Linked DNA regions of Bombyx mori. The main gene of each other region encodes a partner of the protein of the gene in region 2 in a complex. Links are inferred from orthologs where the notes say so. Each region holds a gene or a part of one and is shown on either strand. Other genes may lie near its edges.

Evidence for each region. Proteins that work in one complex are often made in the same cells at the same time.
Region 1: DNA polymerase epsilon subunit 3 (region 2) and DNA polymerase epsilon subunit 4 share a complex: the UniProt entries of both Drosophila melanogaster proteins name them as parts of the DNA polymerase epsilon complex. The link is inferred for Bombyx mori from reciprocal best matches to the Drosophila melanogaster genes Chrac-14 and PolE4.
Region 3: DNA polymerase epsilon subunit 3 (region 2) and molybdopterin synthase catalytic subunit share a complex: the UniProt entries of both Drosophila melanogaster proteins name them as parts of the ada2a-containing (ATAC) complex. The link is inferred for Bombyx mori from reciprocal best matches to the Drosophila melanogaster genes Chrac-14 and Mocs2B.

The regions. Positions count from the first base shown.
Region 1 is NC_085128.1:3,897,936-3,901,504, reverse strand, and holds DNA polymerase epsilon subunit 4, read right to left. Parts: upstream 2,123-3,569; 5' UTR 1,814-2,122; coding exon 1,520-1,813; intron 1,028-1,519; coding exon 884-1,027; 3' UTR 822-883; downstream 1-821. UniProt on the Drosophila melanogaster protein: Accessory component of the DNA polymerase epsilon complex. Participates in DNA repair and in chromosomal DNA replication. Has a role in cell cycle progression. Required for wing morphogenesis.
Region 2 is NC_085130.1:7,455,785-7,458,940, forward strand, and holds DNA polymerase epsilon subunit 3, read right to left. Parts: upstream 1,654-3,156; 5' UTR 1,529-1,653; coding exon 1,169-1,528; 3' UTR 640-1,168; downstream 1-639. UniProt on the Drosophila melanogaster protein: Accessory component of the DNA polymerase epsilon complex. Participates in DNA repair and in chromosomal DNA replication. Histone-like protein which promotes nucleosome sliding of ATP-dependent nucleosome remodeling complexes.
Region 3 is NC_085131.1:1,996,740-2,001,309, forward strand, and holds the start of molybdopterin synthase catalytic subunit, read right to left. Parts: upstream 3,122-4,570; 5' UTR 2,853-3,121; intron 2,782-2,852; exon of another isoform or gene 2,375-2,781; intron 2,128-2,374; 5' UTR 1,812-2,127; coding exon 1,683-1,811; intron 1-1,682. UniProt on the Drosophila melanogaster protein: Catalytic subunit of the molybdopterin synthase complex, a complex that catalyzes the conversion of precursor Z into molybdopterin.

The DNA of each region.
Region 1 (3,569 bases), on a different chromosome or scaffold from region 2:
TCTGATAGCCATGTAAGCCATTTGAAATTGAATAATTATCCAATACATAGCATTTCAACATTTAGTTCCCTTTGTCAATTTATCTTATAATTATTAGATAAAGATGGAACTACATATTAACTTGAACAGCTACTTAACTAATGGACGTAATGATGTCATAGATGTTATTTTGCTGTCAACATAAAAATGAAATGTTATTTTAATTTTTTTTACAAAATTTTTACAAATTTTAGTGGCAATAAAAAATAAAACAAGAAATAATTTAGTTTTTTTTTACTTAAAGAATTGTTACCTCATCTGTCATGTAGCATCTAATCACCTGAATGTAGTGACGGATAGCCATACAACACAAGATATCTGACTGATGCCTGAATCTCGCTTACATTTTTAAGATAGCTTGCATATATACAAGTCCCAAACAACATTTAGACAATCGTTCTACCAAGCAATATCCCTCACTCGGTGGAAGATCTTCCCTTTTTCATATATCTCCCCAGAATTGTTGTATTTGAAAGACTTAGGAAATCTACTAAATGTTAATTTTTATGCATATTTTAAATTCAAATCCATAGTAATAAGTTTATGAACTATGGCATGAATCCAATGAATTTGTTTTCTAGCTCATTGTAATTTGTGGAAATCTTTAAAGAGCTAGGTGATATTTTATTTATTAGCATAACTGGCAACATGTACCTAAAACCCTCCTCTTGTTGAGCAGTTACCTCTGAGTTAAGTATGAGTGCTTATGCAATTAAGTTTATTGTTGATGATGATTTGAAGAATTAAATAAAACCAAGTTAAGATCAACAATATAGACAAAGTTTTAAAATATTTATATAATTTATTTAATAACTAATGAATTATAAGATATTTCTTATAAAATCTAGAAGTCCATAGCACCTTCTAAAAAGCACAAACAATCAACTTTATCTATTACAAGTTCCAAATCTTTCTTTGATATAACCTTCCGTTTATTTGATGATGTAAATGCATAAGTTTCTTTCACTATTGTTTCTAGAAACATTTCCTGGAACAGAAATTAGATAAATTGTACTACTGTTTTACTCTAGCACCTTGTAACACATTTAAGGGGGTGCTAATATTTTCACACACCCAATTAAGCATAAAAAATTTATTTCATCCAGTAATTTTTCCACTAACAACTAGCACAACACAATCCAGGATTTAAATTAATGGCAATCTCTGAAGGTCAAAATTTTTGGGTTACTAAGCCAGAATAAGGAAATATATACAATGCCTGAGTGGTTATTGTTATAATTTTTTTTTTATGAATACAAAACTAAGTGCATTAAATAAAGGAGCCTTTAAGCTTTAAAAAAACCTTTTACACATCGCCGAGAACAGAGGAAGATGGTGAAACATCATGTAGAGAAGGATAATGGGAGATAGTCACAACCCTCAAACATGAGGAATCCAACTCACGGAGGAGGAAGCTTTAAATAAATGTCACGTTCATTTGAAATTTTAGAAATTAAAGATAATTATTTAGGATACTTACTGTCGCTTTAGTAACCAAAAATACAGCATCGCTAGATACAATATTTACATCTGGGTCCATTTTCATAATGTTTTTAATTCTCGCTATAGGAAGCTTTGTAGATCTTATAACTTCAGTTTTCTGTTTCTTCTCATGTACTTGTTCCTCAGAGTTTAGTTCAAATTCTAGTTTGTTATTATCTGCTTCTGTAGCCTCCGTCAGTGCAAATTTTAGATGTTCATTTTCTAGATATGATTCCGAATGCTCTGTAATATCTGAAATGTCGACATCTTCGTGGCATTCTTCTTCAGACATATTTTTTAAAGATGAAAGTTTATATGTACTTTAAAAAGTAAATATTTTATTCCAAAATTTACGTGCTAATAAAATCTTACAGTTAGAACATAAAGAATAATATGCACTAAGTGTAATATTTGGCAATCGCAGAGTAAAATAATTTATTTAATAACTTAATTTACTGTATCAGTCAAAGAAAATTATGTTTGCAATAAGTTTCTATTTAAATATCTAAGTTTATTTATTTAAAAATTAAAAAACCAAACATATAGTCGGATTTTTTATTAGACGAAGTAAACTGACGTTTACTGTGTTGTCAGTTTTTGATGAAATAAAAATAGTGTTGTGACAAAGTGAACGATTGAAAAAACTCCTGAATTAATGAAATTGCCCCGATTGTCTAGTGAATAGTTAGTGTGCCGAACTGCCGATATCGGGCACGGGGTTCGAATTTTAGCCGTGCTTTGTACATACCAACGAGTTTTCGACGAAACATTATGTTCCTATGGTATCTACCTGTACTGAATACCGAGTGTTTTAAACATTAAGAAAAACATTGCGAGGAAGCTTGTAAGACTGTCCTATTTCCAATGCATCATATAGTTGAAACTATAGATGTATAAAATGTAACAATTATAGGTACATAGGTAATGAAAATAAAACAAACTGATTGTAGTTACATACTACTAGTAACATATTATTATATTGGATCACTTTAATACAATTTTATTGTAAAATATAAATAATATTCTTTTATAGTTTGAAATTAATGATTAACTCTTCACACTCATTGTTCATTTATGTGATTGAAAGAGAACTGAACGCATCACTATTACTTTAAATATAGCAACATTATTTCACAAAGTGACATTAGCTACTGTCAGCTGGCTTCGTCTAATTAAAAATCCGACTATAGTGTTGCCGTTTCTATTTTGCTTTATTCAATCGGTTAAGCAAAGGGATCTTAAGACATACTCCTTTAATAAAAGGCCGAAGGTTTACATACGGAAATTTAAATGGAAAAAATCTAATGAAATGAGCTGAAATGTTAATTCATTTTTTCCGTGTAGTTTTAAGAATTCACTTCAATGAAATTTTTGAAACCATTCGAAAATCAAAATCCACCCCTTTTTTGGTTGTTGGAAACTTGCACACTTATTACAAACTTTAAAATGCGCACGACAAGAATTGCTAAATTAAGATTAATAAACAATTCCCTAAATTTGCCGTTTATCGAAAAAGTTATCTATCATAGAGTCCTTGTTAACATTTTGATTTTAATGTGAGTATTTTTCTTGCAAAGAAGACACAACTTATACAGTAAATGTTTATTAATGTCACAGAGTACTTAAGCTAGTCGGTGTATGGGCTTGCGGTGATATTTAAAAACAATTTCTTCATCTTATAAAATTTGGTGAAACCGTAATGCATTACCACAAAACAATAATGCGATCCAATTTGTAGATTAGGACAAGCTTGATAAAGTAGAGCTCTAGACTTTATATCTCAAGGTAGGTGGCGGCATCCAAGTAGGTAGTGGTGTTTATGGGCTTCAGTAACCACTTAATTAACCAAATGGGTTGTGGCTTCATACACCTGTCTACGGAATAATAAAAATCAATAAATATTGTAATATATTCTAATGTATTAAATCTCTTTTATATCGTTTGAATGCAGACCATAAAGTCTATCTCGTGGTCCGTAGTTAACGTCACTCCCTTGAGCTTGATGCCACATATACCAGGCAAACACGAAGAGGCTGCCTACTGCTGAA
Region 2 (3,156 bases):
AATGATTATCGTCATTCACATAACATGCCCATACCATAATTCTTCCATTTTTTACTTTGTCAGTGGAACTACTTTGAGACTTCCTATAAACACTTATTTTGAATCTTATCCTATGATGTTATATTGTATTTGAGTCGTCTATTATCAAAGGTGGCAATCTGTGCATTTGGACAAAAAAATGTTATTGATATGTCAATACAGATTGATTTGAATATAATCGTCTCCTTCAAAGAATACGGTTCAAAACCTGCATTAAATAAAGGTTAATACTTAACCTGTTATTTATCTAAGATGTCGTTCAGAAGAGTTTTGTGACTGCCAACAGAATACAAAGTCAATAATTCGTTTTTCTGATTTACCAATAATTGTCCAAAAGTCACATTGCCGGCTTTGATAATAGTCGACTCATTTGATTCATATTTCGTATCATTTAATTCAAATTGGTTGTCATGTCCCACTCTTGACAAAAGCCAAAACAAACTACCAAGTTTCGAGAACTACCACCATAGATAAGCAGGGCATTGAATATTGTATGATATATTGAATGAAAATAATTGGAGGTTTTCACACAAACATAACCATTATTTTAATTTCTCTTGAGACTATTCTAGAATACTGAAAAATAATAGAAAAGCCAGATTCTAACAAAATTTTCTTATAATTACAAGTTTTAAAAGGATGTGTGACCAGATCTAGTAATAATTGTAACATTTACATAACATACATACATACATAACCTAACATTAAGTAATTTTTATGGCAGTAAAAATTAAGTTTAGAAAAATATCAGTAATAAATCAAATAAAATACTTTTAATTTTAGCAAATTGCAAAAACAAATTTTGAGAAGTTCTAAGTTTTAATTGTAGTTAATTTACTGATGTAAAAGTAAGTGGACACAATTCATTTTGGGATGCTTTTGAAGTTTACTTGTTTTTAATAAAAGTTTATTTAATTTTAAAACACTTCATACATTATTACCAACTGATTAATTATTGCGAGGTAACTGTTGTAAATGTTCATGGGAAACTTGTTTCATTTAAACATTTATCACTTTTGTAACACAGGCATGGGTTCTTTGAACTTATTTCATATAGTTTTTCAGCACAGTTTCTGAATATACACCACTAAGCGCCACTATACATTTTAAACTCAAGTCGCAGTAGTATTCAATCGTCTTCTATAATCTCAGCGTCTTCTTGTTCATCTTTTTTCTTCATAGAAGCGGATTTTCGTGCCGAAGCCATGGTCTTGTAATGTTCCAGAGCTTCTCCTAAAGGTTCCACAAATCTATCAAATTCGATGTCTTTCATAGCATCTATCACGTCCTGCCCAGTGAGAGCCTTCCTTTTTTTGTTCTTAACAATATTTGTAGCTGCTGAAGTCACATAAAGTACAAAAACTGAAGCCGCCTTAGCGAGGCCAGTTCGCGCCTCTTTTGATATCGATACGCCACTGGGAAGAGCTTCTTTTACGATTCTAGTTACAACTGTGAGTGGTAAATTCAAATCTTCGAGTTTTTCAGCCATTTTTGTTTATAACGTTCCTATTTATAAAATCTGGAATTAAATGAAAACATTAATTTAACCGCCAGAAGCACTAATGACATTTCTTGACATTGATTGGAGCATACAGTCACAGTTATAGATTATACACAGTTACGAATGTTACGATAGTACTCTCTATGTGTATTATCTATGGATACAAGGGTTAGTAACTGCCGCCTGTCGCCGTGCTACAAAAAGTCTCAAAAATAGGTACTCGGAATACAATGCCTTTTTTTCAAAGTTTTCATAGGTATCGTGGCTTAAACTATATTATTATGCTGTATGAGATACCCGGTGAAGTTACATAAAACGATGGGACAATACCAGCAGTTAGATCCTGCAGTGTAGTAGCCTACCGAATTCACAATTAGTATTTAGCGTTATCACGTGTTTATTTGTTGTTTATTCAACGTTTCTATTATTCTTCAAAATTAAAACCTCAAATCTTATTCACGTTACATGCTATAAAAACATTGCGATCTGTTTTCCAAAAATATTACAAAAATATAGGATTGCGTGATAATTTTAATTCACTGGTGGCAAGAAAGCACGCATTGATGATGACGCATAATGTCCATTTAACGAATGCAGACCAGAAGAGGGCTTGTAGTGCAGCAAAGATCAAGACAATATGAGATAAACTTAAACTGTATGCTTTGGTGGGAAATCGACTTTATCGTCTAATTAACTCAAAATATTTAGCAGTCACCATTATCCAAAATAATTCACGGTCAAAAAATAAATTACTCAAAAGTATGTAAAAGTTTATTTTCGCTATTATTTTTTGGTTAAATTATTATAATCTGATAATCTGTTATTTTAATCAGCCATTTAATTCGCTTGAAACCTTGTTGATTGTTGATAAAAATAAAAAGCAATGGTTCGAACACTCGTGTTGTTTGTAGAATTATTTGATTTGCACGATGTCGATATAATGAGAAACGAACGAAATTACTTGCTCATTTCTGCCACAAAGCATTATTGCATTCCGGTTTGAAGGGAGGAACAGCAATAAAAATTTCATCTTTAAAAAATAACATGGCCTTCAGTTCACAAAAGCTTCGCGTTCGTTATCATGTTACCCGTAAACAGCTGATTTACGAGTGACCAGTGTGCTTAAAAACATTATTTAGAAAATATAATAAAATATATCAGTAGGCTTACCATAGATTTACTAGGCATACATTGACTACCATGAAAGCGTATATTAGCGTATCAAAGGACACGTTGTCCGTGTTAGTTCGTTTTTAAAACATAATAGGTATCTACTTTTTAGATAGAAATTGACAACTGAATCAACTAAACAGGTCAATGACCTAGTTTTACAGAAATCGATGAAAAATTAAAAATGAATGACGTGAATACATATAAAAGGGAAGGTCAATTGTTGAATTTACTAAGTACGTAATAAAATTGAAATAAAATTTATAAATACATTTTTATTGAGTTAGGTACGCTTGGAGGTATTGCGCAAACTCGTGGTGCAATGTTGATGCCAGTGTTGTTTTGACAATAGTGATGTCCAAATGAACAAAAACGCGATAGCGTGTTATATTCTCTATTTTTTTAAGCTATTATGTTTTTTGTTACTAATAAGTTTTATAGAGATT
Region 3 (4,570 bases), on a different chromosome or scaffold from region 2:
TCGATAGTATTTTTTATTTATTGCTTAGATGGATGGACGAGCTCACAGCCCACCTGCTGTTAAGTGATTACTGGAGCCCATAGACATCTACAACGTAAATGCGCCACCCACCTTGAGATATCAGTTCTAAGGTCTCTGTATAGTTCCAACGACTACCCCACCCTTCAAACCGAAACGCATTACTGCTTCACGGCAGAAATAAGCAGGGTGGTGGTACCTACCCGCGCGGACTCTCAAGAGGTCCTACCACATGTTAAAACTTTTATTGTACACGTTACGTTTTTATTACACGATGTTATTCCTTCACCGTGGAAGTCAATCGTGAACATTTGTTGAGTACGTATTTCATTAGAAAAATTGGTACCCGCCTGCGGGGTTCGAACACCGGTGCAATCGCTATATACGAATGCACCGGACGTCTTATCCTTTAGGCCACGACGACTTCAATAAATGTCGTCGGATGTTCTTTAGACGACGGTACCTTTGATTTGCCTCGTGGCCTGGGTCGGATATGTAATTTTAGGCGGTCACGATAAGGTTTATTTCTAATGAAATACGTACTTAGTACACGTTCACGAATGACTTCCACATCGTGTAATAAAAATCCGATATAATAGTAACGTGCGTAATTACTAAACAATTGAGATGTAGATGTATGTATATGGACTCCAGTAACCACTGAACAACAGGTGGGCCGTGAGCTCGTTACGAAAATATATTTTTTTTATCTCGAAACTAGGAAGAAACAACCTTCTAGTTCAAAGTGGCCCGCAGCATACCGTATGAACAGACTTAACTTGAAAACAAAGGTATAAAAATGAGTTTAAATTTTTGAAATATAATCATTGCTAACATCGGTATGACTAAACAATCTCTTGTTATTTACTGCATTTACATGAATATTTTTTACTTCACCACATTTATCTGACTTGGTTGTTGTTTACAAAAAGTGTTCAAAGAGGTCAAACTATAATATAAAATAAATCATTTCTTATCTATGGAACGTAAACAACTATATCTGTGTTGGAAATTGTAAATTTAGAAGATGCAAATAGACAAAGAGTTATGGCCATATTTTCTTTATTTATATCTTCAGCTACGCACGGACGGGTTGGTAAGCTCATGGGGTTCATCCTGAGAGAATTTGCTAACAATAGTCCTAGTAAGAGAAATCCAATCCAGCGAGAAATTAAGTTGGTTATGTATTTGGGCTAGGTTGCTCTTCAAACTCTTTTTGTCTAAGCCTCAGTTTTTTCATTGCAACAATTTCCCCACCCTTTAAACGGAAACTCATTACGGCTTCGCGGAAAATATAGGCAGGATGGTGGTACTTACCCGCGTGGGCTCAGATATGATGCCCTATCACCAATAATTACACAAAAATTATAATTATTGCGGGTTCAATTTTTATAACAAGTAATGTTATTCCTTTATTATAGAAATAATTTGTGAACATTTGTTAACCTATTTCATTAAGAAAATTGCGTCGCTTGATGTGAATGCACCGGGTGCCATATCCTGTAGATCACGAAGAATTTGCTGCCTATAGTGACATGAAATATCACTTAACACTAAAATGGTTAAAAGCCATTACCGTTTTGAACAACGGGCTTCACATACAGAATCTTAACAAAATACCTATTTTCCTAATGACTAGAAAATTTTAAATAATACAAGTTTACCTTTTTTCCTTCAAAATTGTCTCTAGTTGTGCCAATAAACAATGAAATTGCACCGCAGCTATCATCAGTTACAAGTTCACTTATTTCTTCGACTGACAGTCTATCTACTGTTAATTTTATATGGTCCATCCTGTGAAATACTATTTAACCTCCACTCAATGGTGGTATAACAGCTAAGTTGTCTTGTTCATTAATTTCTATATCTACTGTATCCTCACACACTACCTCGTTCTTAGCCAAAAGTATATTTTTCTTAATACTGTTTAAGTTATATTTATCGCATATAATATTCAACAATCTCTGATATCCCAACTTTCTTGGTAAAGTTATGGAAGTTTCTCTAACTCCCGACAATTCTTTTGATTTAGCAAAAAACAATAGCTTCACTGTTACAGTATCTTCTATATTTTCTATTTCCATAATTTACCATAGTCAATCTACCAGCCTGCAATAAAAAGATGTGTTATTATAAACCTGTTTGTAAAAAAAAGTTGCTTAAGTAAAAATAAATAAAAAACATTACAACAAAATAATCAATATAGCTACTGTCAATACTGCTTCTAAATCTGTGTAAATAGTAAACAATAATGATTAAAATACATACATGTAATTTGAATTGAAAAAAAAAACTAGAAAGTACAAAATGGTGCTGCAAAATCTAAAGAAAAATATTTAAAAAATTAAATTCTTACTTTATTTCGAATTGATCCATAAAAGACTAAATATGTTGTACTTGTTGTAGGATAATAAAAAGGTTTTTAATTTCCGTTATACACTTTCCATGTACATCAAAAGTATTTTAAAAAATTATATATCTACTGACTGCATCACCGCGGCGTTTCATTTACTTACTGACTGATTCACTCGACTTACCTACATGAATGTCGTGGATATAGTTTTTATTTTATGGGCGACTGCTTTAAACATGTTGCTGATCATTGGACCGTGTCGGAATTTCACGATCTAATTACATACACCTACTTTCATACAATAGATACCTATACTTTACACAGTATAATATTATTAGATATTTTCAAGTACGTCGTTGGTACAAATGTCATTACAGCGATCATTTAATTTAAACTGTGTGATTTTTATAACTAGGAGGTTATACCGTAACCTTGAAAATCGTAACATTTTATTTATTAAAGTAATTTTAAATATACTTACTGTATCTTCTGTCTTAAATGGTAGTAATGTAAGGGTTTTTTTTCCTCAAACTTAGATTAGAAATTTCACTTCTTTAAAATTCTTACTAACTATTAGGTGTTATAATTAAGTTAAAATTCAAATTTTAAAACTCAAAAGCAAAACAAGAGACAGCTGTTATAGTTTATGAATTAATAACTTTTTGTTTGATCCCAAAAAACAGGCAAAGGAATAGTATTTCATAGGCTTTGTTTCAAAAAGTAAATTCTTTTATCTATCTATCTCTTAGGTTTATGGCGTTTCCTTTTAGATTTCGCCAATGTCAAGTGTATATAATACTCTGCTTTCTATAGCGGGCTTCGTGAATTAAATTAAAGTAAATTCTTTTGCACGAGAAGCGTAAAGGTGTCATTACCAAGCCATACTATTACCTTTTTTAAGGTATAAAAAAGGTAATAGTTTAAAGTTTGAATGATATCAGTTTTCGTAATAGGCCAACCAGCCAAGTCCAGTGATTTTGCTCCATTTCCATCTCCTAGAATCTAGGACCTAGATAGTTGAAAAGACCATATTAGTTTAGTATATTAGTTGCAGAAATACCTAATTGGAAAAATATTACAATGGCATATCCAATTTCATTCTTGTGTTCTAGTCATAGTAGATTTACACTTTTCTTTCTTGAATCTTATCCATACAACGGTTGAATGAAAGAGATCGCTTTAGAAGACAGGACCACACCTTGTAATTAAATTTTTATAGCATATCTACTTCGCTCCCATTGTACTAAGAAAAATTACCCGTGATAAGGTGCATGCGAAAATTTAACATGAAAATTAAGAGTCAATAACAAAACTCAATTTTACATTTATAGTATTTTAAAAATATAGATATTCTTTTAGGATCTCTTTTTAGGGGTTCAAAAAAACCCTCTTTCCAAGCGAGAGTTGTTGATAAAATACTTAAAATTTAAACTTAAATTATAAATATGTCTGTTATTAACTACTATCTCTCCATCATATTAAATCATGTTTATGTTGTATTTTCATGTCTCAGGCCTATTTATAAAATATCTTATAATCCAATTAATAATCATCATATGTTCAATAGTAGTGATCCGTCTTTGCACGGGATGAATAATGATATTGTGAATTATGTAATAATGAATAAATATAATCATATAATGTATAAACTAATTATTGCTGAAAGTACATCATAATACAAGTAAAAGAAAGTACATTATTGTTTACAGTAATGGCCATAGGTAATATATTGTAATTACATCACGTGTATTATTTTTACTAAGCTTTATGTAAAAGCTTCAATATTGACAGTTCTCTTTCAAATGAGAGAAATTACACTTTCAACCCCTACTTTTTAACTCTCAAAGAAAATATTCCTAGAAGTGAAATTTTGAAAAACAGCAACAAAAGTTTACGCATAAACGATAATATGTTTATTTTTTAACAAGTAGCGGAAATACGACATTTCGTATTTTAAAATGACAGTGTCGAAATGTTGTAGCGATGGCTCTATAGGTTGACACTCTCTTATTATACATTAAGGTTAATCCTATGAGTTTAGATTTGAATTCTTTCGGTGATCATGTCTCCTGCCGTTTGACATTCTTTTTCTTCCACTTGACCATAGATAATGCTTAAACACCTTCGCAACTCGATTTAATTTTACGTCACTATCGATACTAACTGCACTACCATAATCTGACAATTGACAGTTCAAAT